Linked DNA regions of Canis lupus familiaris. The protein of the gene in region 1 interacts with the protein of each later gene in a biochemical or structural test. Links are inferred from orthologs where the notes say so. Each region holds a gene or a part of one and is shown in the gene's direction. Other genes may lie near its edges.

Region 1 (7,641 bases):
TTAACTCCACAGATTCTTGTGAATTGCCTTAGAAATGGGACTATTCCATCACTCTCTGTCTTTACTTTGATGATATTTGATGAATGTCACAACACCAGTAAACACCATCCTTACAATATGATCATGTTTAATTATCTAGATCAGAAACTTGGAGGATCTTCAGACCCACTGCCTCAGGTATCTCCAGAATCAGATGGATTCCTCAGAAGAGCCATAACCTTTTTAAATCTTATTTTCTTACCCTACTGACCACATTGAGGATAGTCTTCTCAGGTCCTAAGTCCATATCATCTAGCTCATTGATTAATTTTTTCATTTTTTTAAAGATTTTATTTACTTATCCATGAGAGACATAGGCAAAGACATGGACAGAGGGAGAAGGAGGTTCCTCGCAAGGAGCCCAATGTGGGACTTGATCCTGGACCTAGGATCATGCCCTGAGCCAAAGGCAGACGCTCAACTGCTGAGCCACCTAGGTGTCCCTCATTGATTAGTTTTGACTTGTTCATTCATTTATTTACTTAACAAATATGCATTAGGTGCCCCTTTGTGTTATCCACTGTGCTAGGCACTGGGGCTACATATATAAAAGACATATACCTCAAACAATTTAAGTTTCATGGGGAACCAGACATGTAAGAATTATGTCACAATATATGGTGATGGCATACTATGGACATGATACAAGGTATAGTCAGAAGAGAAGTGAAAACTCGTAAGTGTGCTATGAAAGTGAGCCAAGACCCAACAGAAGTTAGGCAAAAACTAACAAGAATGTATAAGGTGGATAGTTGGATGGTTTTCAGGAAAGGCTACTGTGTGTCTGGAGGCACAGAGGTATGAGAGAACATGTTGTGCCCAAGAGCCCTGAAGCTCTTCAGTATCATTTGAGTGTGGAATGTGAAATGGTAAATAGCAGTAGGTGAGGCAGAGTGGAATAGAGGGAATGATCGATAGAACAAGATTCTAGGAGAGATCAGAGGGTATGGGATAAGTAGGCAGGTATGTTCATTAGTACAGGAGAGCATTTTGGGCGTCATCAGAGGTGAGGGTGTGAGAAGAGTAAAGATGAGAGGGTAGTTCTGAGTTGGGGACAGGAAAGGTAGGGAATCCCTGGTATTTAATATCTCTTTTAAATGAGAGGTAGATGCTTTGCTGAGAATAATCAGGATGGGAATGGGGAGGGAGCTCAGAGTACATGGAGAGGATTTGAAATGAGAGAATCAAGAGGAATATATAGAAGAATTGCTTGGTCATATTGGGGATCCAGATGAAGTTGGAAACCATGACTTTATAGTTAATATACCAATATCACAATGGGTAAAGTTCTCTAGCCCTAATAACTACCTGTGTAGGAAACATAGGTTAGAAGAAATTCGTATGGTACCCATAGACAAAATTCCATAGCAAGCACATATCTTACAGTTTCTTCTAGAAAAAAATGCTGGTTAATTAGATTCCTTGCTAATGAGTCAACTATTCAGTATTTACTGAGTGGCTATTTGAGTAAGGCATAAATTGTTAGGTGACCATTAAGCTAATTTTTTTTACAAATGTTACCTTATGAAATTCACACACCTACCATTTTAAATGGCTATTGTTTCCCAGCCTTAAAGAGAGCTGAAGTTCGATCCCGGGTTTTAGCACCAAAAAAAAAAAAAAAAGAGAGAGAGCTGAAGATACTTGTCCAATGATCCACCACCGGTGTGGCATGGTTGAGTTTAGAATGAAGTTGTGTCTGATTTTAGTCCCTGTTCTTATAGTATGTTGTTCTACACATCATGGGGGACACAGGAATAGAGAAAAGTCCTGCCTTGAGAGTGTTTCTGCTCTTGGTTTTTTAGCTAATTCATGTTCATTTGAAAACTTGTGACTCCTGCATTTATTCACTGCTTTGCCTGCATTATTCACTGCTTTGCCTGGGGAATTTCCATTTGAAATATCTTAGAGAACATCAGGGGAAAAAATAGTGTTCTTGTGCTTTATATGAAACTAGTAAGGCGGATCCCTGCTCAGCGGTTTAACACCTGCCTTCAGCCCAAGATGTGATCCTGGGGTCCCGGATCCCAGGACCCCAGGATTCCTGCATGGAGCCTGCTTCTCCCTCTGCCTGTGTCTCTGCCTCTCCCTCTCTCATGAATAAATAAATAAATAAAATATTAAAAAAAAGAAATTAGTAAGAAACAAACAAATAAAAAACCAAAACCCTACTTTAGCAGGAAAGGGTTGCATGGGGGATTGTGGAAATGGCATGCTGTTTTCCAGATGTCTGACAATTTGTAATGCTCCTCATAGGTTGTTGGGCTGACTGCCTCAGTTGGCATCGGGGATGCCAAAAACACAATGGAAGCCATGGAATATATCTGCAAACTGTGTGCTTCTCTTGACACATCAGTGATAGCAACAGTCAAAGACAACTTGGAGGAATTGGAAGAAATTGTTTATAAGCCCCAGAAGTGTAAGTGGAATCCAGTAACAAGCCCTTCAGGACTTTGTTACCCTCTGCTTTTCTTAGTTCGGAGCCATTTGAATGAATACTGAATTTTTACTTTTTCTGTTTAGTAGAAAATATTTAACCCCAAATTTGGGAAATAATTACATTTCATGCCTCTCTTCTCAGCTGAGCTCTTCATCAGTGGGTGAACCTCAGGAGTGGACTGTCAAAAGCAAACATTCTTACTCTTCAGTTTGATTCAGTTCTTTTTTTGTTTTTGATAAAGTTCTTATAAGGATACTGACAGCAAGAGAGACGTGATGAGAAAATCAAATCACATAAATGGCCAAGAGCTGGTCTCAGTCCTTCCCTGTGTTGCATTCCTAAGGAGGAAGGATACTGTGTGGCCATTCATTATTTGAATATGTATCTGGGGATCCCTGGGTGGCTCAGCGGTTTAGCGCCTGCCTTTGGCCCAGGGTGTGATCCTGGAGTCCTGGGATCGAGTCCTACATTGGGCTCCCTGCATGGAACCTGCTTCTCCCTCTGCCTGTGTCTCTGCCTCTCTCTTTCTGTGTCTCTCATGAATAAATACATAAAAAAACCTTTAAAAAAATGAATATGTATCTGATGATTTGGGTTGAAATGAAATTATTCTTAGTTCATCATATTTTTTCTCAGCAGATCAGAATATGATTTTTTTTTAGAATATGATTTTTTTTAAAAAGATTGACTAGCAAATATTTAATAAATTCCAATGCTATACTAACCCAGCAGGGGAAAGTGGGAGAGTAGACATATATGCCTTCATCCTTGCTCTGGGGATAGTGTATGACTGTATAAAGCAGAACAAAAACACATGAAATAGCCAAGGAGAGGCAGTTCAGTTCCTTTCTGGGAGCTTCCTGTAAAGAGGTTAAGGAAGGTACCCAATCTAAACTTTTCAGTATCAAGTACAAATTTCTTTTTTTTTTTTTTTAAGATTTTTAATTTATTTATTCATGAGAAGACACAGAGAGAGAGAGAGAGGCAGAGACATAGGCAGAGGGAGAAGCAGGCTCCTGCCTGCAGGACTCGATCCCAGGACCCCAGGATCACAATCTGAGCCAAAGGCAGATGCTCAACCACTGAGCCACCCAGGTGCCCCTCAAGTCCCTTCTGCCCTCTGTGCTTCATCTCCCCCTCCCATAAGTCCAACCATGTTGCATACCTCTGGTTCCTCAGGAGTATCAGTGTTTCCTCCACTCCTCTTCCCCTATTTATCCCACAACATTTCCTCCCTTGAAAGAATAAGAGATTCTTTTCCTTGTGCTCCATGACACCTTTCATATACTTAATGTTACAGCACTTCACTGTGATTATTTGGCTATGTATCTTTCTCTGCCCTGAGGATACAGTCTTCTGTGAGCACAGGCTGTGTACTTTTCAACTGTTGATCTCCAGAACATGGCACGTGGTAGGCAGTTAATAAGTTTCTGCCAAAATAATATAGTACTGAATTTTAGGAAGTGTGAGCACTTCAGGGGGTTGAGTGGGAAAGGAGAAAATCAAAGAAGAGAGGGTTAAAATGTGTTGTATTTGCAGAGATAAGATGGATACCAGCCTTGTCAGAGTAGAGGCTCCATGTTGAGTAACAGGAAAAGCAGAATAAAAAGTTGGATTAGACCCAGATCATGAAAGACAGAGATATTAGGATCTGTGCAGTAAGCACCAGGGAGCTATTGCCAAGTTTCTGAACATTTGATATATCCTTTAGACAATCTCCCCGTGAGCCTCAGATCTTGCAGAGGAGGTAACAGGCAGAGAAACGTGTGCAGATGCCTACTTTGAACTATGATGTGTTCCTAAAAAATGCTCACTTTGTTTTCATGGCTCTAGTTTTCAGGAAAGTGGAATCACGGACTACTGACAGATTTAAATGCATCATTTCTCAGCTGATGAGGGAGACAGAGAGTCTGGCAAAGAATATCTTTGATGAACTCGGTACCATAACTCTCGGTGAGATAAATCTCATTTTATGTTCTCTCCACTTAGGAATAGCCATATAGTGTTCTCTTTTTGCATCTCTTTAGTTCAGACAGTCTTAAGACCATATCAAGAGGTTAACTTCTTGATTATAGGTTATTCGGGAACCTCCTCATTATGTCCTCCTTTAGTCCTTGTTTTTTTTTTTCTTTTTTCTTTTTAAATCCACAGTAAATCTATGTGGATACACATAGCCGAAAAATACCATGTTTAAATCAGTTCATGGCTTTCTTAATTTTCCAGATTAGTTTTCTGTTCTGATTTCCCCCTTTATATGAAAGAAACCACCATTTCCTTGATGGCTCAGATTGAAATAGGTGGTGATCTTTGATTCTTTCTTCTTTTGAGACTCTCTCATGAAGTTACCAAGTTCTATTCTTCTCTCTTTTGTTCTTTCATTCATTCACCAGATATTCATTGTGCCAGCTAATGGAAATAACAAGGTTAAAGACATAGTCCCATCCTCAGGGAACTCACAGCTAAATAATGAGAGTCAGATGTGAGTAGCTTCCACATGGCAGGGCAGAGGGACACCTGTGTGCCCTGGGAGCACGTGGGAACTTTGACCTGGAATGGGCCTTTGGGAAAGCGTTTTGGGGTGGGATGATGCCTGAAACAGTCTTGAAAGTCAGCCAAATTAAGAAGGAAAGATAACCAAGTGAGGTTGAAAAGGCATTAAGGCTTTAAAGGAAGAAAAAATTTTAGGAACTGCAACCATTTCATGGTACTCCTAATGCACGAGTGGTAGAAAGGAGTGACGCTAAAGAGAGAGGCAGGGGCAAGACCAGGAAAGGCCTGGTAGCCAAACTGGGTTTGACTTTGTCCTAAAAGCAGGGGGAAGCATCCAAAGATTTTAAACTGATTTGTGATGTGATAAAGATACCAGTGAACAAAGAGAGTCAAACAGAGGCAGTCAAGACAGGCTGGTGGAGGGAGGAGGCATGTGCTGAGCAAGTGTTGCAAGCAGGAAGCTTTCCAATTTCATGGCTTCTGGTTCTGAGTTGGGAGTAGGGGTGATCTCCACCAAGCTTCTGGCATGTACCCTTGTAGGTATACCAGTGAGTAGTGCTGGTTCCAGAACTAGGAGCAGTGTTGGAGATGCTTAATTTGTGAATTCACCTTTACTCACATTTATTTTGCTTTTTTTTTTCTCCTCTTCTTCCAAAGCTTGATTTAGGACTTACTGTAACAGCTGTCTGGCTGTTTCACCCACCCCTACCCCCACTCACTTTTCCAATCAGCCTCCCATTACCTGGGTGGTCTTTCTTTCTTTTTAAAGATTTTATTTATTTATTCATGAGAGACAGAGAGAGAGAGAGAGAGAGAGAGAGAGAGAGAGAGAGAGAGAGAGAGGCAGAGACACAGGCAGAGGGAGAAGCAGGCTCCATGCAGGGAGCCTGACATGGGACTTGATTCCTGGTCTCCTGGATCAGGCCCTGGGCTGAAGGCAGTGCTAAACCGCTGAGCCACCTGGGCTGCCCCTGTCTTTCTGAAATACCAGTTTTATCATGTCAGGATCCTGCTTGAACCTCTCTGCCTTTTAAGCAAAGCTCTCTAAGCCTCTAACCTGCCAGTGTGACCCCGGCCTGCACAATCTGGTTCTACTCATCTTTCCAGTTTTACCTTCTACTCCTTCCCTGCTTGAATCCTTTGATTTAGCAGTACCTTGAACGTATTCATTCACTTGTCATTTACTTGGTGCTGAGCAATATGCCAGGTGATGGGAACATAGCATGGACCCTGAGACTGAGACATAACTCCTTCCCTGTGATATTTCCAGTCCAATGGTAAAGCCAAAATTAGATAAGTAATAATAAAGCTAAAGTAATAATAAAGCAACAGCATAGGGGTAGGTGGGTGGTGTTTCAGGCGGAAGGAAAAACATGTGCAAAGGCCAGGAAAGTGGAGAGAGTATGAGGACTTCTGTTAGTTCTGACAGATGCCGGAAGTGGAGCAGCTAGAGATGAGAATCAGAAGCAGGCAGAGGTTAGATCACAGAGGGTCCTGGGAGCCGGGTAGGATTTTGGCCAGAGGATTCCACTAAAGGCTTTTAAGTAGTGGGGTAGCGAAGTGTTTCCTCTGCAAATTTAGAAATTCTCTCTAGCTGCTGAGTGGAGTGGATTAGAGGGAATAAGGCAAAAAGTAGGGAGACCAGTTAGGAGGTCGTTATTTTATTCACGAACATTAGAACATGGTCTGAACTGGGAAGATAGCAGAAGGGTAGAGGGATATGAATTTCTACCTTCTTATTCCTCCCACTTCTAACTCCCTACCTCCACCTTTTCCCCAGTACACATCCTGTGAACTGTTCATTTCCAGATTGCTTAGGTCATTTTCATACCTATTCACATTCAAGAAATACTTGTTAATTCATCTAGTTTACTGCTGGCTACTTTGTTTGTAGTTGGGGTTGGGAAAGAAGCATGTCAATGCAATTTGAATAACCTCCTTTGTTTCTCCTGTTAAACATGAATGGGTGAGAGGAGCAATTTAACCTGGAAACATAGCTCTTGGTTGTGAGTTTTACTATGCTGTGCTCTTTCCCAGTGAGCCCTGAAGATCTGATCCCAGAGTAACTCACAGACTGGAGCCGCTTGAGAACAGGCTTCTATCTTCTGCATCTTTTTACCACCAGCACCCTGCACACACACACAGCCTGGACCACAACAGATGCTCAATTTTTGGACGGAGCAACTGAGGTGTAGCTTAGGAGATGCACACATACAGAAGCCTCCATGACGAGCATCTTTTGAGTGCCTCTTCTTTGCTCCGCCCTGTGAATGGTGCTGTGGAAATCAGGTGGCTTAAATTCATAGCAAGGCAGAGTAGGCTGTGTTGAGTTCTGTCTCTCTTGCTTTTAAATATCTTCCTAATGAAGCTCATGAGATCTATTATTTTTATTTACTGCTTCATTTTTTAAAGGCAAAGTTAGATATTTTCATGCCCATTGTTTTACTTCTGGGCTGCTTTGGTTGTCAGCTCACATTGCTGGTAAGGCTTGGGTATCAGACACACCTGGTTTTGCATTCCTGCATTCCCCCCAGGTACTAGCTATGTCACTTTGGGTAAATTGCTTTGCTTTTCTGAGCTAATGGTTTCCTCACCTGTAAAATATAACATCTACCTCAGAGGTTTGTGAAAATGAAATTATTAGTGTAAGACACTTTGATTCATGGTGCAGA
Region 2 (8,192 bases), on another chromosome or scaffold:
ATTGCAGAGAATTATTACAAGTTGATAAAAGTGATTACAAAGTGATAAAAGACTTTCATGCATAAAATAGATTGCTTTAGAATATCGTTCTGTGGAATTGGACAACTAAGAAGAAATGGATAAATTCCTAGAAACATATAAACTACCAAAACTGAAACAGGAAGAAATAGAAAATTTGAGCAGACATAACCAGCAAAGAAACTGAATCAGTACAAAAAAAAAAAAAACAAAAACCCTCCCAACAAATGAAACTCCAGTGATGTGGGAAGCAAAGACAAAAGAAAAATCAAACGTCTTTACTACTTATAGGCCATTGACAAGTCCTTGAAACAGGCAGAATGACAGTCCTATAGGAACTCAGCTGCCTCGATGTTAGAGCTTTGCTAAGGGCAAAAGGCAATCTTAGCCCAACTCCAGAATCCTGTAAGTCTACTTTAACATGTAAAAATTCCTTTGAGGGGCATCTGAGTGATGTAGTCAATTAAGCGTCCAATTCTTGGGTTCAGCTCAGGTTGTGATCTCACAGTTTTGGGATTGAGCGCCAAGTCACACTCCGTGCTCAGCATGGAGTCTGCTGAGATTCTCTCTCCCTCTCCCTCTGCCCCTCCTGCTCATGCTCACCCTCTGTCTAAAATAAATAAATCTTTTAAAAAAATAAATAATTACTTTGGAAACTTCCTTTATCTTTATCCTCCCAAGATATGTGTTGGCAATCATCCGCCAAGCATATGATCCGCCAATATACATCTGGAGGGTCTCATGACTAAGGTTTTATTAGACAGCAATAAAGATTTTATTTATTTATTTATTTGTTTATTTATTTATTTATTTATTTATTCATTCATTCATTCATTCATTCATGAGAGACAGAGAGAGAGAGGTAGAGTCACAGGCAGAGGGAGAAGCAGGCTTCCTGCAAGGAGCCCAATTCGGGCTCGATCCGGATTCTGGGATCACGCCCTGAGCCGAAGGCAGATGTTTAACTGCTGAGCCACCCAGGCGTCCCATCAGACAGTAATAAATGATCTTTTCCTAACAATAGCTAGCCCCCTCAAAGTCCTGGAAACCTTGCTTCCAAAATTCTTTGGAGACTTATGCTCTCCCTAACCCCCTCCCAACTTGGAGATATATAATGGGCCACTCCTCATGACCCCAGTGCAGCTCTTTCTGCCCACAGGTCCTGTCCCTGTGCTTTAATAAAAACACTTTTTTGGGCCCCTGGCTGGCTCAGTGGTTGGACATCTGCCTTTGGCTCAGGTTGTGATCCTGGCTCAGTGGTTGGACATCTGCCTTTGGCTCAAGTTGTGATCCTCTCTCTATGTATCTCATGAATAAATAAATAAAAATCTTTAAAAAATAAAAACACTTTTTTGCACTGAAGGCGTTTTAAGAATTCTTTCTTGGCTGTTGGCTCTGAACCCCAATATCTATCCTATATCACTAGGATCAAATGACTTCACAGGTGAATTTTACCAAATAGTTAAAGAAGAGTGAACATCTCTTCTTCTCAAACTATTCCAAAAAATAGAAATGGAAGAATATAGTTCTCTGGAGAAAATGGAATGGCAATACAAATTCAAAAAGATGAAACAAAGAGAAATTTTCCAATGTAAATGAAGAACTTGTTAATGTATTTTTACAGCTAGGGCTACTTCCACCCCTACCCTCTTTTTGGTAACCACTGCATGTTTTTGCATGAAACTTTCAGGAATTGTCCAAGAAAAAGTTTGCAGACCACTGGTTAATCCACTCCTTCAAGAAACTTGGGTGTCTAATAGAGAAGGGAAGGAGAGGTGGCTAGAGGGATGCTTCTATCAAAGGAAATTTTATTTTTCAAGATGGAAAGTTTGAGCATGTGTCTTTAGTATTGTGTCTATATTTCCAGAAAAGAGAGGTGTGAAGAAATAGGGTTTACCACCAATGAAGAGACTTCAGAACAAAATCCAGGTAACATATCAATCAGGATAGGCTAAATTATGCTGTAGCCACAAGCACCCATTAAGTCTCCATAAGCTTAACATGTCTTAAGTTTATTTTTCTCTTTTACTACAGGTTCCAGTGTGGGTCCCCAGGGGGTCTGCTCATCTTCACCACTCAGACACCAGGCCACCAGATGATGGCTTCATCTCCACAGTCAGGGCATTTGGCAGAAAGGGATACAATGACTTACTAGCTTTTTTAAGCTGGTGGAAAGGTGACAAGTATTCTGCATGTTTCAAGTGGGTCAGAGAAGTGCCAATCCTACCAGGTGCTGAAAAGAGCTGGAAACTTCACTGAGTAGCCTAATAGGTAGTTCTATTGACTACTACTTGTCATTTCCAGTATTGGAAATAGCCATAAATTTGTATTATCTGGTACTTACTTTGGGGCAAGGCAAGATGGGATGAAATAAAATATGAGATATTGTTAGTTCATTTCAACAGATCAGAGAGATGGGGGTTCTGGTCTCTGCCACTCAATGGATGCTGTGTAAACCTGAAAGTTCCTTTGCGTCTTTGGGGCCTTCCAGCCCCAACATTTTCCTGCTGTGATGAGTCTGGGACTGGAATAAGGAGAGAGGAGGAAGCGAGCGAGCCCAACCAAGGCCAGGCTTGCTACCTCAAGAAAACAGACCTAGTGTTTTTGTCCGGTTGCCTGTTGGGTAATGTGCTTTCAGCCAGCAGAGAGCAGCACGGAGACAGTGGCATAGTTCTGCTTCGTAGTGTCGGTTTGAAACGTCTAGGGGTCCTTCAACTTTGGCCGCATATTAGAATCATCTCGAGGAGGCTTTTAAGAATATCCGTGCGGGGATCCACCCCGGAGGATGAAATCAGACTCTTTGGGAGTGAAGCCCCAGCATCATTCTTTTAAAAGAGCTATGTGCACTGGGAATTTTTTTTTTTTAAGATTTTATTTATTGATTCATGAGAGACACAGAGAGAGGCCGAGACATAGGCACAGGGGGAAGCAGGCTACCCCCGGGGAGCCTGATGAGGACTGGATCGCTGGACCCTGGGATGAGGACCTCACCCTCTGGCTGAGGCTCAACCACTGAGCCCCCCAAGTGCCCTGCGCCGGGTTTTCTTTAATCTTTTACTACTTGTTGGAGGGGATGGATGACAGCTAGTGGGCGCAGTCTCGTAGAAAAGTTCTGGAACCGGACCGTCTCTTTCTTCTCGAGGGCTGTCGGGACCGCGTTTTAATGGGCCGGGGTCTGTGTGCAGAGGGAGGGCATCAGGCTCGCGGGTCCTTGGGACATCGGGGTGCTCCCGGCGCTGGGGCGAGCTGAGATCCCGCGCAGCTGTGACTGCGGCCCGCTCCGCCCTGGGGCGCGGCGTGCGGGGAGGGGAAGCGCAAAGGCCGCTCTCCCCGACGCCGGAGACAGGAAGAAAGGCTGGGCCGAGGCGGGGAGAGGAAGGCCGAGGGAGGAGCTGGAGGCGCCGTCCGCGCCCAGGCGTCCCGTGGGGCGCCCCGTCACCATGGCGGGCCCGGACCCCGGCCCGGCCGTCCCCGTGTGGCTGGCCGAGGACGACCTGGGCTGCATCATCTGTCACGGGCTGCTCGCCTGGCCCGCCACGCTGCCCTGCGGCCACAGCTTCTGCCGCGACTGCCTCAAGGGCCTGTGGGCCGCCGGCTGCGCTGGGCCCCCGCGCTCCTGCCCCACCTGCCGCGCGAGCGCCGCGGAGCCGCGGCAGCTGCGCAAGAACACGATGCTGCAGGAGCTGGTGGACAAGTACAGCCGCGCGCTGCGCGAGGTAGGCGAGGGCCCGGCCGGCGCCGCGGGCACCTGCGCCCCCCGCCGCCCCGCGCCCCGCCCCGCGCCCCGCGCCCCCCGCCGCCGACCGCGCTTCCCGGGTGCCCTGCCTCCGCGCTTGCGCCCTTCGCCCCGCCGCCTGCCTGCCTGGCGATCTGCTCTCGCTCCGAGCACTCCCGCTCCTGGGGAAGTGGGGATGAGTGTGAGCACGCGGGGGAAAACCCAGTCCCTGACTTCCAATCAGACTGGGTGCTCTATCTACTCCTTGGCACATTTCCACTCTTGGCCAGTCTGTCTGCAGACTGTGGGCTCTTTTAACATTCTTCTATTGGGGTAACATATAGCATAGAGTCATACCAACCTTTTTTTTTTTTTTTTTCTTTTAAAGATTCTATTTATTTATCCATGAGACACACACAGAGAGAGGCAGAGACACAGGCAGAGGGAGAAGCAGGCTCCGTGCAGGGAGCCTGACGTGGGACTCGATCCCTGGACCCCGGGATCAGGACCTGAGCTGAAGGCAGAGGCTCAACCATTAAGCCGCCTAGGTGTCCCTCCATACTTTTTTAAGTGTATAATTTAGTGGCATGAGTTATATTCACAGTGATGTGCAGCTATCACTAGTTTGTTTCCAAAAGGTCATCACCACAAAAACTCTGCACCCTTTAAGCAATAACTTCTCATTCCAACGCTCTGCAGCACCCCCCCCCCCTTTTTTTTTAAAGATTTTTATTTATTTATGAGAGACAGAAGGAGAAGGAGGCTCCATGCAGGGAGCCCGACGTGGGACCCAATCCCGGGGTCCAGGATCACGCCCTGGGCCAAAGGCAGGCGCTAAACCGCTGAGCCACCCAGGCATCCTATCTGCAGCCTCTTTTAACCTCTAATCTGTGTTCTGTCTTCATGACTTGCCTACTCTAGGTATTTCATCTCAGTGGAGTCGTGTAATATTTGTCTCTTTGTGTCTGGCTTCTTCCACCTACCATGTTTTCAGAGTTCATTCATGTTGTAGCATGCACCTGAATTTTATTCCTTTTTGTGGCTGAGTAATGTTCCATTGTATGTATGTACCAAATATCTGTTCATACACTAATGGAAGTTTGGATTGTTTCCACCTGCTGGTTACTGTGAGTAATGATGCAGTGAATATTGGTGTGCAAATAACCAAGTCCTTATTTTCAGTTCTTTTCAGTAAATTCTGCAGCAGCTACAACATTTTACATTCCACCAGCAAAGGAGGAGTTGCCGAATTTTCTTTTTTCTTTTTTTTTTTTTTTCCGAATTTTCCACATACTTGTCAGTACTTGTTATTCTCTCGTTTTATTTTCATTCCACCTTCTCACCACTTTGTTTTTAGTATAGCTTTCCCATTTAGGATTGAAGCGTTTTCTCACTGTGGGTTTGGTCTGCATTTCCCTGACGATTGATGATGGTGACTGAACATCTTCTCATGTGTATGTGTTTTTTAAAGATTTTGTTTGTTTGTTTGTTTGTTTGTTTGTTTATTTATTTATTTATTTATTTATTTATTTGAAAGAGAGAGAGATAGTAAGAGAGAGCACTAGCAGGGGGCAGAGGGAGAAGCAGGCTCCCCGCTGATCAGTGAGCCTCAATATGGGGCTCTATCCCAGGACTCTGGGATCATGACCTGAGCCAAAGGCAGACTCTTAAGGGACTGAGCCACCCAGGCACCCCTCTTTTCTTGTGCTTATTGCTCATGTATATATCTTCATTGGAGAAATGCTTATTCAGGTCCTTTGATTGTTTTAAAAGTTAGGTTCTTTTTTTTTTTAGAGATTTAATTTGTTTATTTATGAGAGACACGGAGGCAGAGACATAGGAAGAGAGAGAAGCGGGCTCCCTGCAAGGAGCCCGATGTGGGACTCAATCCCAGATCCCAGATCCCAGGATCATGCCCAGAGCTGAAGGCAGACGCTCAATCGCTGAGCCACCCAGGCGTCCCTAAAAGTTAGGTTCTTTGTTTTTGTTGAGTTTTAGGAAATCTTTATAAATTGTGGATATTAAGCCCTTATCAGATAATACCACTTTCAAATATATCCCCCCCATCTTATGGGTTGTCATTTTACTTTCTTGATGGTGTCCTTTGATACACAAAAGTTTTATCTATTTCTTCTTCTCATGTCATATCTAAATGCATTGCTGAATTCTGAGTTCATGAAGATTTACCCTCATATTTTCTCCTAAGATTTTTATGGTAATAGGTCATATATTTAGGTTGCTGATCTATTTTGAGTTAATGTTTCTATGTGCATGAGATAGGGGTCCAACTTTATTCTTTTACATGTGGAAATCTAGCTGTCCCAGCACTATCTGTCGAAGAGACTATTTTTCTCCATTGAGTGGAGTTAGCACCTTATAAAAAAATCAGCTAGGGGGTACCTTCACCTGAAACCATCTGTACAAGTATTACTCTTGGGGCGCCTGTGTGGCTCAGTGGTTGAGCATCTGCCTTCAGCTCGGGTCTTGATCCCAGGGTCCTGGGATCTAGTCCCATACTGTGCTCCCCATGGGGAGCCTGCCTATCTTTCTGTGTCTCTCATTAATAAATAAAATCTTTTAAAAAAATCAGTTGGCCTTAGATGAATGGATTTATCTCTGGACTCCTAATTCTATTCCACTGATTTTTTTTGGTCTATCCTTATGTCAGTACCACATTGTTTTGATTACTGTAGCTTTGTAGTAAAGTTTGAAATCAGAAAGCATAAGTCCATCCTACTCTGTTCTTCTTTTTCAAGATTGTTTTCGCTCTTCAGGGCCTCTGCAATTCCATATGAATTTGAAGATTGATGTTACCATTCTGCAAAGAAGGCTGTTGGAATTTTGAGAGGGAGTGGATTGAATCTGTAGGTTACCTTGGGTGTGACATCTTTAACAATATTATGTCTTCTTGGGGATCCCTGGGTGGCGCAGCGGTTTAGCACCCGCCTTTGGCCCAGGGCGTGATCCTGGACACCCGGGATCAAGTCCCACGTCGGGCTCCCTGCATGGAGCCTGCTTCTCCCTCTGCCTCTCTCTCTGTCTGTCTGTCTATCATGAATAAATAAAATCTTAAAAAAACAAAACAAAACAAAACAATATTATGTCTTCTTGGGGCAGCCCTGGTTACCTAGCGGTTTAGCGCTGCCTTCAGCCCAGGGCCTGATACTGGAGAACCCAGATCAAGTCCCACATCGGGCTCCCTGCATGGAGCCTGCTTCTCCCTCTGCCAGTCTCTCTCTCTCTCTCTCTCTCTCTCTCTGTCATGAAAAAATAAATAAAATCTTTAAAAAATATATTATGTCTTCTTCCCAGAAATGTGAAATGTCTTTCCATTTATTTATTATTTATTATTTCCATTTATTTATTCCATTTATTTAGGTCTTTTTAACTATCTTTCAGTGATGTTCTGTAGGTTCCAAAAATATAAGTCCTTTCATTTCCTTAGTTAAATTTATTCCTAGGTATTTTATTCCTTTAGATGCTACTATAAATGGAATTGCTTCCTTAATTTCATTTTTGGATCATTCCCTGCAGGTGTATAAAAACACACTTCTTTTTGGGAGATGATCTTGTGCCCTGTGATTTTGCTGAATTCATTTACTAGCTTTCTTGTGGATTCTTTTTTTTTTTTTTAAGAGAGTTTTAAAAATGTATTTGACAGAAAGAGAGCAAAAGTAGGCAGAGTGGCAGGCAGAGGGAGAGGGAGAAGTAGGCTCCTTGCTGAGCAGAGAGCCCAACATGGGGCTCCATCCCAGGACCCTGATATCATGACCTGAGCCACCCAGGCCATCCTCTCTTGTGGATTCTTTAGGATAATATTTATATGGTCATATCCTATGTGAGTACAGATCATCGTACTTCTTTTCCAATTGGGATGCTTTTTATTTCTTGTCTAATTGCTCTGCCTAAATTTCCTGTACAATGTTTGGTAGCAGAGTTGAAACCAGGCATGCTTGTTTTGTTCCTGACTAGAAGCTTTTAGTCTTCTACCATGGAGTATGATGTTAGTTGTGGGTTTTTCGTAAATTCCCTTTATCATGTTGAGGAAATTCTTTTCTATTCTTGGTTTTCTCAGTATATATATATTTTTTGATCATGAAAGGGTGTTAGATTTTGTCAAATGCTTTTTCTGCATCGATTGAGATGATTGTATATCGTGTGTGTGTGTGTTTCCTTCATTCTATTAATGTGATGTATTATATTGGTTGTTTTTCTTAAGTTGAACCACCTCACATTTCTAGGATAAATTCTGCTTGGTTGTGGTGTATTATCCTCTTAATATTCTGTTGGATTTAGTTTGCTAGTTTTTGTTAAGAATTTCTACATCGATGTTCATAATAGATAATGGTCTGTAATTTTCTTGTGATGTGTTTATCTAGCTTTGGCATTAGGGTAATGCTGGTCTTACTGAGGAGTTAGGAAGTGTTTCACCATCTTCAATATTTTGGAAGAGTTTGGG
Region 3 (8,342 bases), on another chromosome or scaffold:
TGTAATGGTTTAAAATATGTGGTGACCATTGGAATAGAGAAAAATGAATCTATCCAAGAATTACTGAAAATACACTGGAGGCAGAATTGTGATTATGATTGTTTTCAATTCAATGTGAATAAGGAAGGGGAAGAAATCAAGATGGCTTCCAGGCATCTGGATTGAGCTACCAGCTAGACTGTAGCGCCATTTACTAAGAGTAGGATAAACACCTGGAGGAAGTAGAACAGGTGGGAGATTACTATAACATTCAACTATAATGTTGAAATGAAGGTGCCTGAAGCAACCAGGTGGTTATGTCAAGTAAGCAGTTGGGCATTTGAGTGGCCCAGAGTAGAGATAAAGACTTAGAAGTCTTTGGAATCAAGATGGTAACAGAATCTATATAAGTTTTCAGATTTTTAGGGAGGGAACAAGGGATGAGAAAATGTCCTAAGACAGAATCCTAGGACCTCCAGAACTTAGCTTCTCCATAACGAAGAAGAGGCCAGTGAAGGAGACAGAGAAGAATTGCCAGAAAGAAAGAGGGAATGCCAAAGAATTTTTACAAGGAGGGAGTGCTCAATACCAACAAATGCAGTTGAGAGGTCAAGGAAGAAAAAGACTTAAAAAGATTCTATCGGATTTAGCCACATGAAGGTCACTGATAAACAGGGGTGATGAAGCAACTTTTAGTCAGATGGAAGTGGATTGGTCAATTCAGAACCCAGGTTGGACTGGATAAAGAGAGCATAATTAAGAAACGGAGACATAGATGGCAGAGAAGCAGGTCAAGAAATCTGGCCTTTAAGAGGACATGGGCAGGAGCTGAGTTTGTTTTTTGTTTTCTTTTTTTAAGGATTTTATTTATTTATTTTATAGAGCAAGAGACCGCATGTGAACATGTGCACATGTGAGTGTGGGGGGAGGGGCAGAGGGAAGAGAATCTTAAGCAGGCTCCATGCCCAGCATGAAGCCCAATGCAGGGCTTGGACTCATGAGCCTGAGATCATGACCTGAGCCAACACCAAGAGTTGGACGCTTGACCGACTGAGCCACCTAGGCTCCCACCATCCCTATCTTTAAAAGAAAAACAGGGGCACCGCCGTCCCCCACTCACACATGCACTTTCCTTCTCTCTCAAATAAGTAAATAAAATCTTTAAAGATAGAGATGGCTATCTTTCCTTCACCTCTATATCCAATTCATTTGCAAAAGCCCCTTTGGGTCTTTCTCTTAAATGTATCCCAAATCTGTCCATCTCACCTTCGACCCAGATAACTCCTTGGTTTGAGCCGTCATCCTCACTTGGGCTCAGTCCTCTCCAAGTGGTTTCTCTGCTTCCATTCCTCTTTTGTTCTTGTCTTTTTGAAAACAGTGAACAGTCATAATACATGAAATCATGGTTTTGAAGTAAAATCCAAACTGGCCTATGAGATCAAATAGAATCAGGCCCTTCTCCTATTTAAGGCACCCTGTGCTACCCTGCTGGTTCCCCTTGTTCTGTCTCCAAAGAGAGTCTCTTTCTGTTCTTTGTTCCTTGCACACTCACTGGTCCCAGTGCTTAGCAAGCTTTTTCCTGCATCTTTGAATGGCTGACTCCCTTTCATTATTTATGACTGCTCAGATGTTGCCTCATCCCAAAAGTCTTCTCGGACCCTCTTACCCTCCCCACTCCTATGGTCAGTCCCTGTCTTGCCTTTTCCATGGTTCTTATCATCTGAAATGATCTTGCTCATTTACTCGTTGATTACTTACATCTTCTTATTAAAAGCAAAGTCGGGGGGAAACTGGGTTAAGTTTATGGGATTACTATGTATTACATGTATTGTTGTGTGATGGGTTGTGTGGATCATATATTACTAGGTGTTATTTATAAATAAATGATAAGCATGTTGGGGCAGCCCTGGTTGCTCAGCGGTTTTGCGCCGCCTTCAGCCCAGGGCCTGATCCTGGAGAGACCGGGGATCGAGTCCCACGTCGGGCTCCCTGCCTGGAGCCTGCTTCTCCCTCTGCCTGTGTCTCTGCCTCTCTCTCTCTGTGTGTGTCTTATGAATAAATGAATGAAATCTTAAAAAAAAAGATATTAAGAAAATGATAAGCATGTGAATCTGTAATTATCTCAACCAAAGTCAACATTTTTGGTTTTGTTTTTTTAAAATAAGTTCTGTGGGAACGGGGATTTTGTCTCCTGGTCAGAATTGTGTTCCCATCACCAGAACAAAGTCTGCTATGCAGTGGGCACTAAAGAAGTCTTATTAAATGTGTGGCTTTTTTAAAAATAATATTTTATTTATTATTTGAGAGAGAGAGAGAGAGAGAGAGAGAGAGTGCACAAGCAGAGGGGAAAGGGCAGAGGAGGCAGAGAGAGAAGCAGCAGGGAGTCCGCGGTGGGGCTTGATCCGAGGACCCGGAGATCATGGCCAAGCAGAAGGCAGATGCTTAACCGACTGGGCCTCCCAGGCGCCCAGGTATGGCTCATTAAATGATGTATTTGGTCATGGCTAAAAGAGGGAGGGGCAGGGAGTAGGGGCAACAGCGGGACACCCTGCGCCCAGGAAACTGAGGCAGTAGAATTTATAGCACTAGAACCCTTATCGTCGTGAGTTGGGATCCGAACCCGGGTCTCAGAACCTTTTGCACGCCGCGTGCTAGCCCTCCCCCCGTGGGGCGCCGACTGCGGCCCGAGCGCAGGGGGGCGCGGTCTCGGGAGCCGCTCGGTGCCAGCCCGCGGCCGGGGCGCGCTGGGGTCGCAGCCGCGCAGGGCGGACGCGAGCATCACCTCCCGCGGGGCCCCTGCGTCGCGGCCGGCGGGGCCGGCTCCACCCTCTCCGGAGCTCGCCAGAACGCGGTACGGACGCGCGCGACAGCCCGCCGGCCGCCCCGCCGCTCCGGGCCCTGCGGGGGAGGTTTCAGGTTTCAGCCCTCGCAGGAGCCGGGCCGTGGCAGCGCGCACCGTGCGGCCGCCCCCGCCTCCTTGTGTCGGCCGCGGCCGCGCGCTCGTCGGCCCTGGACGGAGGTGGGGCGCCGGGCCGCGGCCGCCGCCGGGCTGCTGTCGCCGGGCGCGCGGGGAGGCGGCGGTCGCCGCTGGGCCGGGACTTCCTTCCTCTGCCGCAGGACAGCAAAACAACCCGGCCGCGGGCGCGGAGCTGCCGGCCGCTGTCTGGGCGAGAGGCGCCGCGATGGGCTCCGTGCTGAGCAGCGACAGCGCCAAAGCCGCCCCCGCCTCGGCCGCCCCCCGGGCCCTGGAGCGCAGCGGGGACCCCGAGCTGCCCGTCACGTCCTTCGACTGCTCCGTGTGCCTCGAGGTGCTGCACCAGCCCGTCCGGACCCGCTGCGGCCACGTGTGAGTGCGGGGGGAGCTCGGCTTGCGCGCCCGCTTCTGGGGAGGGCGAGGCCGGGGGAGCCCGCGCGTGGGAACGGAGCTCCTGCGGGGGACACACCCGGACCCGGCGAGCCCGGGCCGCGGGGAAGGCGACCTGTCGGAAGGTGACACAGGCATGCAGGAGGCGAAAACAGAAACAGGCGGGCGCCGCGGCGCCTCCCCGCCAGGCCCCGAGGCGCTGCTTGCCCCAAGCCCAGGTGCGGAGCCCCAGACCGGGTGCCCAGGCGCAGGAGCCGCCGGGGGCCGGGGCCGTCAGCTGGGGAGGGTGCCCTTGGCTGGACGGCCGGCACCCGCTTGGACACAGGGCAGTGGGCTTCTGCAGAGCAATCACCCCGCCGAGCTCAATCAATCGGGAGGTGCTGCCCCCTCCCCACCCCCCGCCGCCCCGCAGGTCGGTTTTGTTTTGCTGGCCCTGCACGTGTTCCAGGACGCCCACTGGGGCAGCCTCTTGAGCAAACAAAGATCCGTGCAAACTGTCCTTCCACCTCCACCTCCCCCTCCCCATCCTAATGCACACACTCAGGCCCTTCAAAGATCAGCTCAACAGGCGGAGTGACCTCGTAGCCCTTAGACTTTAAGTGCCTGTCGGGGTGGGGCCGGGACCTGAGAACCTTAGCGCCAGGCCCTTGAGTGTAGCCCTTTAAAATCTAACCACAGAGTGACAGGAGTTTGCAGACTCCCTGCCTCACGCGGCGCTTCCCTAAAATCGATGGAAAGCAGAGATAAAAATTAGTCGTTTCTAAAAAGAGTTTGAAAACAAAATCCCTATATAAAATTGGCCCGTCCTTAATGTGTGCTGGGGCCACTAGTGATGGGAGTTGGACCTGTGGTTTCGTGTTCTGTTTCCGCAGAAGCTTGCTTTCCGTGGCTGCCTGGGTGTGTGAGTGAGTGTGTGCCTGTTGGGGGTGGGTGGGGTGCGGGGAGTTGCACAGAGTGAGAACGGAAGCCCACTTAATGTCTTCTTTGGCTGACTAGAGTTTGATGAAGCGCCAGGGCAATACCGCAATGGCTAGTAAGTGCTTCTGGCTTAGCAAGGGGGGAAAAACCCATATTATAAATGCAAGTGCACAAAATGTTTTCAAAAAGACTTAGATGGTTCTTGACACCTATAGACTAGTGACTGAGAAGCACCATGAAAACCTCGGTGGTGAGCCAAGAAGGAAAAATGCAGCCCACATAGTGTTTAAATAAAGAGTGCCCTGGGCATTATTTTGTGGCTGTGTTTTCAAGGCCTGTTGTTTCAGCGTTGTACTTTAAACTCAAGCCTAATTGGCCTCCAGACTGATTACTGATGTTGTTTCCCAGCTGTCCAGATGTAGCTCATGATATGAAATCCCAAGGCCAAGATGGAAGCCGAGATAGCATCGTGTAACAGTATAATATATTGATTAGTTGGGACAGTAATCATCCCCGGGTAGCTATGGGTAAATTTAGGCTGTGCATTAAAACTTTAAAGTTGCACCAGGAATGCGCAGCGGGCATCGAGTCTTGAAAGTTCCTTCTGTAGAACTGAATTGGATGACTTTGATATTGGAGGTTGTTATCTGATTGAGGATTGTTTTCCCTGGTTTGGATTTTTTAAAAATATTTTACTTATTTATTCACGAGAGACACAGAGAGAGGCAGAGACACAGGCAGAGGGAGAAGCAGGCTCCATGCAAGGAGCCCAGTGTGGGACTCGAAGTGGAACTGGATCCCAGACTCCAGGATCACGCCCGGGCCCAAGGGAGGCGCTAAATCACTGAGCCACCCAGGGATCCCACCTGGTTTGGATTTTGAATGCCATAACTTACTGTTTGTAGTGTTTTTGCTTCTGCTAAAGGATAATGTAAATGTGTAAAAAGTTAAATCTTTTGTTTAATCTTTTTCTTTGTTAGAGTTTGAATAGGAAACCAGCAACTGGAAAAAATAGTCATGAAGTAGCACAAGGGCTGGATGAATTGCCTTCCCTCACTTTACTGTTCTTTGTTTTGACAAATCTATGTCCATTGTTCTGGCTGTGGGCAGAATTTCCATATTCCTCCTTTTGGCAAATTTACTTGGGCCCCTTCCACTTTATAAATGTTAACTAGAGTTCCTTCTCCACTGGGAATGGTGAGTGCTGTTAACACCATTTGTGTACTTCCTAAATAAATTTACTCTCCTCCATTGACCCTAAATTGGAAAATGGAGAAATGCAAATGAAATCTCTGTATGTTATCTCCTATTGAAGCTAATTTCCAAACTTGTTGAACTCGTTGGTTTATGCTGATTTCTGCTCATAAACCTATTTCGAGTCAATCAAGTACTTAATAATGACAAAAATACATTGAATGAGTATGTATATAGCACTCTATAAATTGTAGAAACAGTGGGACTGAGAGAGAGCAGTATTTGAAATTCAGCCCTGCCACTGACTGGTTGTGTGACCACCATGGGGCTATCTCTTTGACTGCTTCTTCATTTGTACAATAGGGTGAATAATGGAATTTTTATGAGTATTTTAAAAATGTAAAAGTGGCCCATCATAAAGCCTCAACACTTAATTTCTATCTCCCTTAAAGACATTCCACAAAGCAAAAACCCAGGAATGGGTATTATTTCTTATCTGTATTTCTTTTGGAATAAAACTGGGCCACAAAAGATAGATCTATGACATTTCTAAGATGTCGCAGATTATCTTCCTTTTAGCTGAGTTCTTTTTCCTTTGGTGGCCTTTAATTTAAGATATTCTATTTTAATGTGCTGTCATTTCAAATCGACATTGCTCATACGTCTGTATCAGTTGTTAAAACAGCTTTTGGGGGAAAGGCTTCCCACCTCTGCCTTATCTTCTGTTATGGGGGTGAGGAGTAGATAAGTTGAAGCTGTGTGAATGAAACTGAAAGGGAATCAGAATCTGATTTATATTTAAAATAAGTATTTTTAAAGAAATTTGTTGACCAGTTGCGTATGACAGATAAAGGGGGGAGAAAGGGTGGAAGGCAACTCCCTAACAGGTGACAGAGATAAAGGGGGGCAGAGTTCAGCTCCAGAGGTAATGTAGTGAACTTGTAATGGGGCTTGTCAAGTATACAGTAGTCTGATAGGGAGATATCCAAAGGGAAATATCCCAAAGGTACTGGGAGAACGGGTTTGGGGAAAGGTCAGAGCCAGAGCTAAGGGAGTTATCTAAAAGAATCAAGAAGTGGAGAATAGATCTAACAGAACTAGGAGGTACAGACTGGAGCATGCTAGAAGGCACAAAGAGCTACATCTTCATCGAACTGAGTTGGGTTAAATAGTTCCAAATCACAGAATTTGCCTAATTTTGAAAATGGAACTGTTGAGGATAATTCTGAAGTGCTTTCAGGTAAGTGAATTAAAACTTTCCATTTGTGGTCAAGTATGAATGGTACAGCCTGCATCAAATTAGTGGTTCTCTGAGAGTTTCCTGATGAGTTTTAAACTGACCCAGAAATATACATCAGTGCTTTCACTTTTTTTTTAACATTTAATATATTTTATTATATTTACATTTTAAAAATTATTTAAATATTTAAATATATTTTAAATTTTTTATTAAGGTGTAATTGACATATGTTAGTTTCAGGTGTTCAACATAATGATTCAATCTTTATATAAATTGGAAAACAAACACCATGAAGAGTCTAGTTAACATCTGTCAGCGTACATAGTTACACAGCTTTTTCTTACAACTTTTTAAGATCTATTGTTTTGGGGCACCTGGGTGGCTCAGTTGGTTAAGCATCTGCCTTTGGTTCAGGTCATGGTCCTGGGATCCTGGGATCAAGGCCTGCATCTGGCTCCTTGCTCAACAGTGCCTACTTCTCCCTCTCCCTCTGCCTGCCACTCCCCCTGCTTGTGCTCTCTTTTTATCAAAAAGAAATAAAATCTTGGAAAAACAAAAAGATCTATTGTCTTAGCAACTTTTAAATATATACTACAGTACTATACATATAGTGTTAACTGTAGCCACCATGTTGTACATTAGAGCCTTGTGATTTATTTATTTTTAACTGAAAGTTCATACCTTTTGACCCCCTTTCAGCCATTTTGCTGCCCATTTCATTCCTACAGGAGTTGTGCAATCCCAAAGAATTCTTCTTTAACATAAGATTAAAGCTATTTGCCTTATTGATTATTACAGATATTTATTATCTCCTTGTATATTATCTACTAGTGAGGGTTCTTCTGAGAAACAACCAATAGTGTGTGTGTGTGTGTGTGTGTGTAAAAAGACTGATTTTAAGGAATTTCTTCACATCATTGAGGATAATCGCTTCCTTAAAGTCAACTGATTATAGATGTTAACTACTTCTGCAAAATACCTGCACAGCAACACCTAGGTAAGTGTTTGATTAGATAACTGAGTACTATAGCCTATCCAAGTTGACACATAAAACTAACCATCACACCTATCAACTGAGTTTTTAAGGGTTATTAAAATCTGGTATCAAAAACAAAAATTAGATCATTGTCAGGCTTTACTATAGACCGTTCAGCATTCTACTAAAAAATCTGGCTGTCAGGCAACCATGTACACACCTACATGCTGCTCAAGCAGACAGTAGGAATCCACACAGTTTTCTTTAAAATAAAATCATTGTTCATTTTCTTCATCATTTTTATTTTGGTTTATTATGAGTTGTTTGGTTAGATCTGCTTTTGCATGGAATGCTTTCATTTATTGATCAAGCAAATATCCCCTGTCCTGTGCTGAGCACATAGACACAGATATCTATCCTCCTGGAGCTTGCATTCTCATCTGGCAGGTGCACAATAAACAAAATACCGGCATTAAATATGTCACTTGTTTATATAGTGATGGGTGTTAAAGAGAAAAAAAAAATAAGCCAGGAAATAGGATAGGAAGTATGTGGGGGAGTTGCAATTTTAAGATATTTAGAGCAATGCTTCTCAAATTACCTGCTGTAAAGAAGCAGTGAGGTTTTGTTTTGTTGTGCTTTTAGCCCATCACTGATCAATAATCTGATAA
Region 4 (7,641 bases), on another chromosome or scaffold:
TGGCATGGCAGCTACTTACTTCTTCAAAGCCAGCAGAGAATTTCTCCCTCCAGGAAAGCCTGGTCCCTTTTTTCTTCTCCTTAGGTTATTGGTCTTTCTCTTTCTCTCTCCTCTCTCTATCTCTCTTTTTTAAAAGTAGGCTCCACACCCAATGTGGGGCTTGAACTCATGACCCTGAGATCAAGAGTCATGGTCTACCACTGAGCCCACCAGGTACCCCTCTTTTTAAAAAAAATTTTATTTATTCATGAGAGACACACACAGAGAGAGGCAGAGACATAGGCAGAGGGAGAAGCAGGCTCCTCACAGGCAACCTGATGGGACTTGATGATCCCCGGGACCCTGGGATCCCACCCTGAGCCAAAAGCATCTGGCTCAACCACTGAGCCACCCAGGTGCCCCCCCGCTTTTTAAAAAAATTTTAATTCCAGTATATAGTTAACATACGGTGTTATGTTAGTTTCAGGTGTACAACAGATTCAACAGATTCAGATTCAACAATTCTCTACATTACTCAGTGCCCATCATGATAAGTGTACTCCCAACCCCCATCCCCTGTTCCCCCAACCCCGCACCCCCCTCCCCTCCAGTAAGCACCAGTTCCTAGAGTTAAGAATCTGTTTCTTGGCTTTGTGTGTGTCTCTCTCTATTCTTTACCCTTTGCTTCTTTTGTTTCTTAAATTGCCACATATGACAGAAATCATGGTGTTTGTCTTTTTCTGACTTATTTTGCTGAGCATGATACTCTTTAGCTCCATCCATGTCGTCGTAAATGGCAAGATTCCATTCTTTTTTTAAAAAAATATTTATTCATTCATAAGAGACACACAGAGAGAGAGAGGCAGAGACACAGGCAGAGAGAGAACCAGGCTCCCTGCGGGGAGCCTGATGCAGGACTTGATCTTGGATTCCGGGATCACACCCTGATCTGAAGGCTGAGCCACCCAGGCGTCCCGTCCCGGCAAGATTCCATTCTTTCTTATAAGCCTGATCCCTTTTAATGGCTCTGACCTGGTGAAATCAGGCCCACCCAGGATACTCACCTTTCTGATGAACTCAAAACCAACAGATTGGGGATCTTCTTTACATCTGCAGTATTCATTCAGTTTTCCCATGCTTGGTAACTGAACCACAGGAGTGATATCCTGCGGTATTCACTGTCCCACCCATACTCCAGGGCATGGGGAGGGGGGAGCAGATTATACGGGGTATGTACCCCCAGGCCAGGTGGGCATCTTGGGGGCCATCTTAGAGCGCTGCCTACTGCATATGCCTCCGCCCCTCCTCCCCATGGACCCTGGAGGTCTCTTTCTAAAGGCCCTCAGTGACCAGACCCTGTCTTTGCCAGCAGCCTCCTCTCTTGCCACCCGCCCCCAGCCCATGCTCTGTGCTATAAGCACCGCACAGCATTCATCGTTCCCCAGACACACTGGGCTTTGGAGGGGAACTCCAGGGCGACTTCCTCTGCCTAGTATATCCTGTTTTTTTTTTACAGGGCCACCCCAGCTTCCCCCCATCTTCCTCAGATCTTGTTATCCTGCCATTACTGGTGATGGAGCAGGTCACGCTGCCTCTGCCCTAGCACTGGGTGGCGTGCTTTTAGATGTGCTTGTAGTCATGTCTGTTCAGACCGCCTGCTCCTTCGGGAAGCCCATCCCTCATCACTGCCCCCTTCTCCTGGCACGCAGCGCATGTTCTGGTGAGCCCCATCGATGGGGTGACAAAGCCTCAGAGGACCAGATTCCTTGTTTAGGTCCTGGGGAGAGTACAGGAGTGACTGGGAACCTCCTCTTCTCCCTGCCTGGGCTGGGCACCACTGATTTTCATCTCCGTATTCCTTCCTGTTTGTTGGAGTGGCTGCCTGCAGCTCTTTGAGAATGATTCTGAGTCCCTCTCTAGAGCCTCTTCATGTTGTATGACCCAACTTTATCTCAAGGTTTGGGACCTTCGGTACATTCCTTCCTTTTCCCTGCATATGCCCTGGCCCAACCTGGGCCCCCTAAGGCATCCCTGTCCAGTTTTAGAACGTGTGTTCAGAGCTGGTCCTTAAGGGCCGGACATGGTCCTGCACCTCCTTACTTGGCCCGCCACAGCTGGAGGAGGGGGGGAACATTATCAATGGGGCTCAGCAGATTGTGTCCCAACTTTGTCCCTGCCACTAATTGGCAGAGTTCCTGGCAGGATGCTTGTTATTTCCTTTTTCTTTTCTTTCTTTCTTTTTTTTTTCTTTTTCTTTTCTTTTCTTTTTTTTTTTTTTTTTGGACACTTGTTGTTTGTGGACTTTAGTGTCTCTCATGGTAGGTGACTGGTCTCTGAGGGCCTGTCCCCATCCAGAGAGCTGTGACCAAAAGTGACACATTAGCCCCCAGCAACCTCTGGCCTGTAATTTGAGAAGGCTGATTGGACTGAGCACATGTGGGCATAGGGAAGCTTCTGGTGATGTTCATAAAGCCGGAGCTCGGGCCCTGGCTTCCTTGGAGCTGCCTGAACTAACTCCTTGGCTTGTTTCAGAAAGCGAAAAAACTGCAAGGAATCTCAACAAAGCCAGTCTACGTCCCCAAAGTGGACCTGAATCAGGAGCTGATAAAGGGTATCTGTCAGGGCACCTCAAATCTCAAAGAGAGGCTGAAACACTATATCAGGCAGTCCCAGGACCAGAAGGCTGAGGAACCCACCAGCTCAGGTAACCATTAGCAACCACCATGCTCCCCTCCTGGGACCCCTGAAATGGGTTGGGTCCCCTCAGTGTTTTGGTGTTGGGGAGAGGGTCTTGATTCAGAGCACAAGGGCTTGAATTTCAGGGGTCCTGAGACATCTGCCCCCTCCCTCCATCTGGGAGGTGGTGGGGAAACATCCTGGGTTGTAGCCATCCTGCCTAAAACATTTCTGGGGGCCTTGATGCTAACAATGGGACTTTCTGGACAGGCTCTTTTTGTCTGTGATCTTGAGGCTTGCTCAGATGGCTTTTTTTTTTTTTTTTTCCCTAAAGATTTTATTTATTTATTCATGAGACACAGAGAGAGAGGCAGAGACACAGGCAGAGGGAGAAGCAGGCTCCATACAGGGAGCCCGACGTGGGACTTGATCCCGGTTCTCCAGGATCACGCCCTGGGCTGAAGTCAGCACTAAACTGCTGGGCCACCCGGGCTGCTCTTTTTTTTTTTTTTTTTTTTAAAGATTTTATTTAAGATTTTACTTCTTAAATATCTCCTGACTCAGTCCACTCAGTCCTCAGTGCCAGCTACCACCTGCCTGCTTTCTCTTGCCACCACCTGTGGCAGCTTTCTAAATAATCCTTCCGTATCCAGGCCTGTTGCAGCCAGAGAGCTTTTTAGGATGCAAATCTGATCTCCTGGGACTTTCTTCCCTCACCCTGTTAAGAGAGTTTCCATTGCTTTTAGATTTCAGACCACGCTCTTGACAGTGTTCTACAGGACCCTGCCTGGTCAGGCCCTGTCCACTTCACCAGTCCTGAAGTGCCCCCTTGTCCCACACATGTCTCTGCATTGAGTTCCTCACATATGCTAAACTTCCTACCACAGGGCCTTTGTACATGCCCTTCCCACTGCCTAGAAGGCTCAGACTCCACCATCCTCACCAGTTCACTCCTCTCACTTTTCAGAGATTGGGTGAAACATTGTATTTCTCAGCAAACCTTCCCTGTCACCACCACTCCCACTCCTCAGACTAGGTCCCAGGATCCTTATCTTCCTTTGGCAGCGTTTGCTTTTCTGTCATTTTGTTCTTCCCCCACTAGATTGCAGTTTCTGTGAGGGCGGGGCTCAGTCTGTTTTTCATCCAATACTCTCTCCCCTATGCCAGGCACTGAGCCTTGCACACAGTTAATCTTAGTGGATAACCCTGGGGGTGGGCTTGCATTTCAGCTTGGCTAGCTGAGTGTCCTTGCAGAAGGGCCTCTGAGACAGGTGTGGCACACTCTGTATAGAGGGTAAAACTGTGGATGAGTTGGCCATGCATATTTATTTTCCTGCTACATCAGTGATTGCTAGTCTGGGGGAGGAGGGTTGATGGAAAAACTGGAGGGGGAGGAACTAGCACTGCATACCAGGCTTATTGGCCTCATTGCCACAAGCAGGGGGCTCATCCCTGTTGACATTGGAAGAAATTGAACCTCAGAGAGGCTTCAGAGGTCATGGAGTGGGGCACTGGCAGAGAAAACACTTGACCCCCGCTATATTTTAAGCCAGAGAAGGACACAACAAACTTGTCTTCGTGTCACCTTGTTTCTAGCTCTTGTAAATGATTGGATGGGGAAAGTCACTGGAAATTGCCTTTGTAAAGCCTCTCTTCTCCCGGCCCTAGCCAAGCTGGCCCGGAGGGTGCCTTCAGAGGAGCTGCATAAACTAATGCCTTCTTCTTTGGCACAGGGAACCCTGGAGAGCATGGCTCAGCATCCACGCACAAACCCATACATTTTGCGAAAAAGCTCCCGAGTAAGTAACTCTGCTGCTGTTCCTGGGGCGCAGCACGGCTGTGGCCAGCCGGGGCTCCAGCCGAGACCCTCACAGGCATGGCTGCTCCCACCAGCCTGGCCCAAATTGCTGGGGGAGGGGGGCAAGTGCCTCTGGAGATGCATCTGGCCACGGGCCACTGAACAGGAGCTGGAGGGGCTGTGGTGAGAGCTCCCCTGGGGTGCTCAGCAGGACTGGCCCATCAGCACTGGCTCTGCAGGTGGCCTGGGCCAGCAAGGTTACCAAAGCCCACTTGTCTTGAGAAATATTTGCCAACACCCAAGTTTTGGCCCTAATTGCCCCATGAAATTTTAATACCGTGCATATGCAGTATGTCTATTTATAGACTATGCTTTTATACATATAAAGAATAAGATTTTTTTCACCTTCTACCAAAAATCCATTTTGGCCCGCTTGGGGGCATATCACTGCCATGGTGAGAAGGCACGTGCTATTAGAACAGAATAGAGCCAGGGCCCCGGGTGCCGGGTGTGGGTGGAGTGGGGAGCCCCCAGCTCAGCGGGCAGATGTGGAAGGACACTTGGCGTGACCAAGGGAAAAGGAAAAATAGCAGAACCAATGCTGTGTACCTGTGTCCTTCTCAGAGCACCACCCCCGCCCCCGGCAGAATTTCTTGCTGCTGCCCCAGATCACAGCGCCGCTCTGGCAGGAGTGAGCTGTGGATCCTGGCCACGGGCTGCCATGGGGCAATGGGCAGGGAAGGAGTGGACCAGTCACAGTATAGACGGGACTTGGAGCAACTGCGATGACCTGGGAGGGGGCCCTCCAGAGATGCCAGTCCTGCGGGAGTGGGCGGGAGAGAGGGAAATGGGGCCAGTGTGAAGACAGCGTCTGGAAACAGGACTCAGGAGTGGGAGGAAGGGGGACACAGGGGGTCACATGGGGCTGAATGGGGGCTGGCAGGGAGGTGGAGGATGATAGAAGAGAGCCGGGCATGTCCACCACGTGAAGTACCCTGCAGGCAGGCAGGGATAAGAGCCAAAACACCCCTTTTCATTCTAGGGGTGGGGAAGGTGACAGAAGGAACCCGAAATCCTCTAGCTCCAGTAGACTCGAATATGTCTCAGACTCACCAGGGGCTTGTAAAACACAGATCGCTTTGGCCCCACCCGCAGACTTTCAGATTCATCAGGGTCATGGGTGGGATCCAAGAGTTTGCATTTCCTACAATTCCCCAGCAGTGCTGATGCTGCTGGGGGCGGGGAGGGGCACTCTTTGAGAGTCTTTGCTTTAGCTAAATTCAGTTTTCGGGATCCCTGGGTGGCACAGCGGTTTGGCGCCTGCCTTTGGCCCAGGGCACGATCCTCGAGACCCAGGATCAAATCCCACATCGGGCTCCCGGTGCATGGAGCCTGCTTCTCCCTCTGCCTGTGTCTCTGCCTCTCTCTCTCTCTGTATGACTATCATAAGTGAGTAAAATTAAAAAAAAGAAAAAAGAAAATTAAAAAAAAATTCAGTTTTCATAGGTGATTACTCCAGATAGTTTTTTTTTTTTATTTTAAAGATTTTATTTACTTATTCATGAGAGACACAGAGAGAGAGGCAGAGACACAGGCAGAGGGAGAAGCAGGCTCCATGTAGGGAGCCCGATGTGGGACTTGATCCCGGGACTCCAGGATCGTGCCTGGGGCTGAAGGCAGGTGCTCAACCACCGAGCCACCCAGGCGTCCCTCTCCAGACAGTTTTTAAAGACTCTTGTGATACTCGGCAAGCACCTTTCTTTGCTGACTCCTTTTTCCATCTTTTTTTCTTTTTTGGGTGTATGTTTTCTTTTGTATTTTTATTTTACAGAGGTATAATTTAATTAGAGCACAGTTAATTTTGACAGACGTGTATGTGTGTGTCACCTTACCCAAATCAAGTTAGAGAATTACCCCAGAAAATTCCTTCATGCTCCTCATTATCGGTCCCAACCCCCAAAACCACTGATGCATGTTTCTGTCATCATAGATTTGTGTGCTTGCATCCAATGAAAATATCCTAGTGAAATATATTCCCAGTGAAAGTATCTGTGTGGATCACATTCATGCAAATGGTTCTCATGGGATTTTGAAGGTGTCATTGGGCTGTGCTTGCAAAGATCTTCATTCTGAAAATTTTCTTTTTCAGAAGAAGAAAAGAAAACCAAGAAACCTGGTAGGTTATGTACCTGTGCATCTTTTTGTTTCTGGAAATTGCTCACGTGTGGAGCTAAGTGCTGGCAGGCCGCGAAGGCTGTCCTCTGGCATTGGGGCTCCGGGATGGAGCCTGAGTTCTGGGATTACGTTCCTTTGGGGCAGGGTGGGGATGAGGCCTGAGGTTGGGGGTGAGCTCAAGTACATGTGAGCGAGATGAATAGTGAATGTTGCCCTGGGTGGGCTCACCTGTATCATGCCAGCTGTCCAGGTGTGTTTGTGGAAGTAGCTCTTGAAGATGAGTGTGGAAGGGAGGACAGGCCATCTAATCCCTCAGTGACATGTTTCTCTTCCTCATCCGCAGCCACTGCCTCTGGCTCAGCCTCGTCTGTCAAGATGCCCACCTTCGGAGCCCCAGAGCAGTTACTGGACCTCAAACAAGCAAGCCCGGAGAGTGAGTTATTGCGGGCAAGGGGCAGTGCGGGGTGCCCACGCTGACTTTGTTCTGAAAATGGCTGTCTGTGTCCTCACCCAGCTGGAGCCAAAGCCACCTCCGAGCAGCAAAACGTCGTGTCCCTCAAAGCCAAGGTGCTGGAGAACTTCTTACTCAAGTCCAGGCCCGAGCTCCTGGAGTGTGAGTAGTGTTGGCTCTGAGGTGTGATGCTGTTGGCTCTCAGGCTCTGGGTGGCTCTGTGCATGGCTTTGCCCTCGCCTCCGCCGGGAGGTCCAGCTTGGTCCCCCTCCTTCTTGCTGGCGACTGGCCTATCCTACACTCTGCCGCAGCCTGACTGGCTCCGTCCCACCAGCACCTGCCTCCCCCCTCCCCAGCTTCTCGCCAGCACAGATTCCACAGACAGTGCTCTGAACCCCTAGCCCTGCGTGAACCCAGCTCCCCGCTTTCTCTGGGGTCCCCCTGCTGTGCCTCAGGCATTGCTGGGGGCCCACTGCCGGTACTTTGGTTCCAGTTTTCTCCTGACTCCTCTGCCATTCCAGAACCTTCCCACTTGCCATAACCAGTCTTCTCCCTGTCCCCC

The links.
Region 2: of the proteins of DDX58 (region 1) and RNF135, one has a biochemical effect on the other in vitro, tested with the Homo sapiens proteins (6 studies listed by BioGRID, with this or other methods). The link is inferred for Canis lupus familiaris from reciprocal best matches to the Homo sapiens genes RIGI and RNF135.
Region 3: of the proteins of DDX58 (region 1) and RNF125, one has a biochemical effect on the other in vitro, tested with the Homo sapiens proteins (3 studies listed by BioGRID and IntAct, with this or other methods). The link is inferred for Canis lupus familiaris from reciprocal best matches to the Homo sapiens genes RIGI and RNF125.
Region 4: of the proteins of DDX58 (region 1) and TRIM25, one has a biochemical effect on the other in vitro, tested with the Homo sapiens proteins (5 studies listed by BioGRID, with this or other methods). The link is inferred for Canis lupus familiaris from reciprocal best matches to the Homo sapiens genes RIGI and TRIM25.

The regions. Positions count from the first base shown.
Region 1 is NC_049232.1:50,009,280-50,016,920, reverse strand, and holds part of DDX58 (antiviral innate immune response receptor RIG-I), read left to right. Parts: coding exon 1-177; intron 178-2,295; coding exon 2,296-2,458; intron 2,459-4,312; coding exon 4,313-4,432; intron 4,433-7,641.
Region 2 is NC_049230.1:40,775,378-40,783,569, reverse strand, and holds the start of RNF135 (E3 ubiquitin-protein ligase RNF135), read left to right. Parts: upstream 1-2,929; 5' UTR 2,930-3,458; coding exon 3,459-3,734; intron 3,735-6,525; exon of another isoform or gene 6,526-6,540; coding exon of another isoform or gene 6,541-6,597; intron 6,598-8,192.
Region 3 is NC_049228.1:57,576,217-57,584,558, reverse strand, and holds the start of RNF125 (E3 ubiquitin-protein ligase RNF125), read left to right. Parts: upstream 1-3,053; 5' UTR 3,054-3,161; coding exon 3,162-3,325; intron 3,326-8,342. UniProt on the Homo sapiens protein: E3 ubiquitin-protein ligase that mediates ubiquitination and subsequent proteasomal degradation of target proteins, such as RIGI, MAVS/IPS1, IFIH1/MDA5, JAK1 and p53/TP53.
Region 4 is NC_049230.1:31,670,352-31,677,992, reverse strand, and holds part of TRIM25 (E3 ubiquitin/ISG15 ligase TRIM25), read left to right. Parts: intron 1-2,511; coding exon 2,512-2,683; intron 2,684-4,388; coding exon 4,389-4,454; intron 4,455-6,602; coding exon 6,603-6,629; intron 6,630-6,971; coding exon 6,972-7,061; intron 7,062-7,142; coding exon 7,143-7,241; intron 7,242-7,641.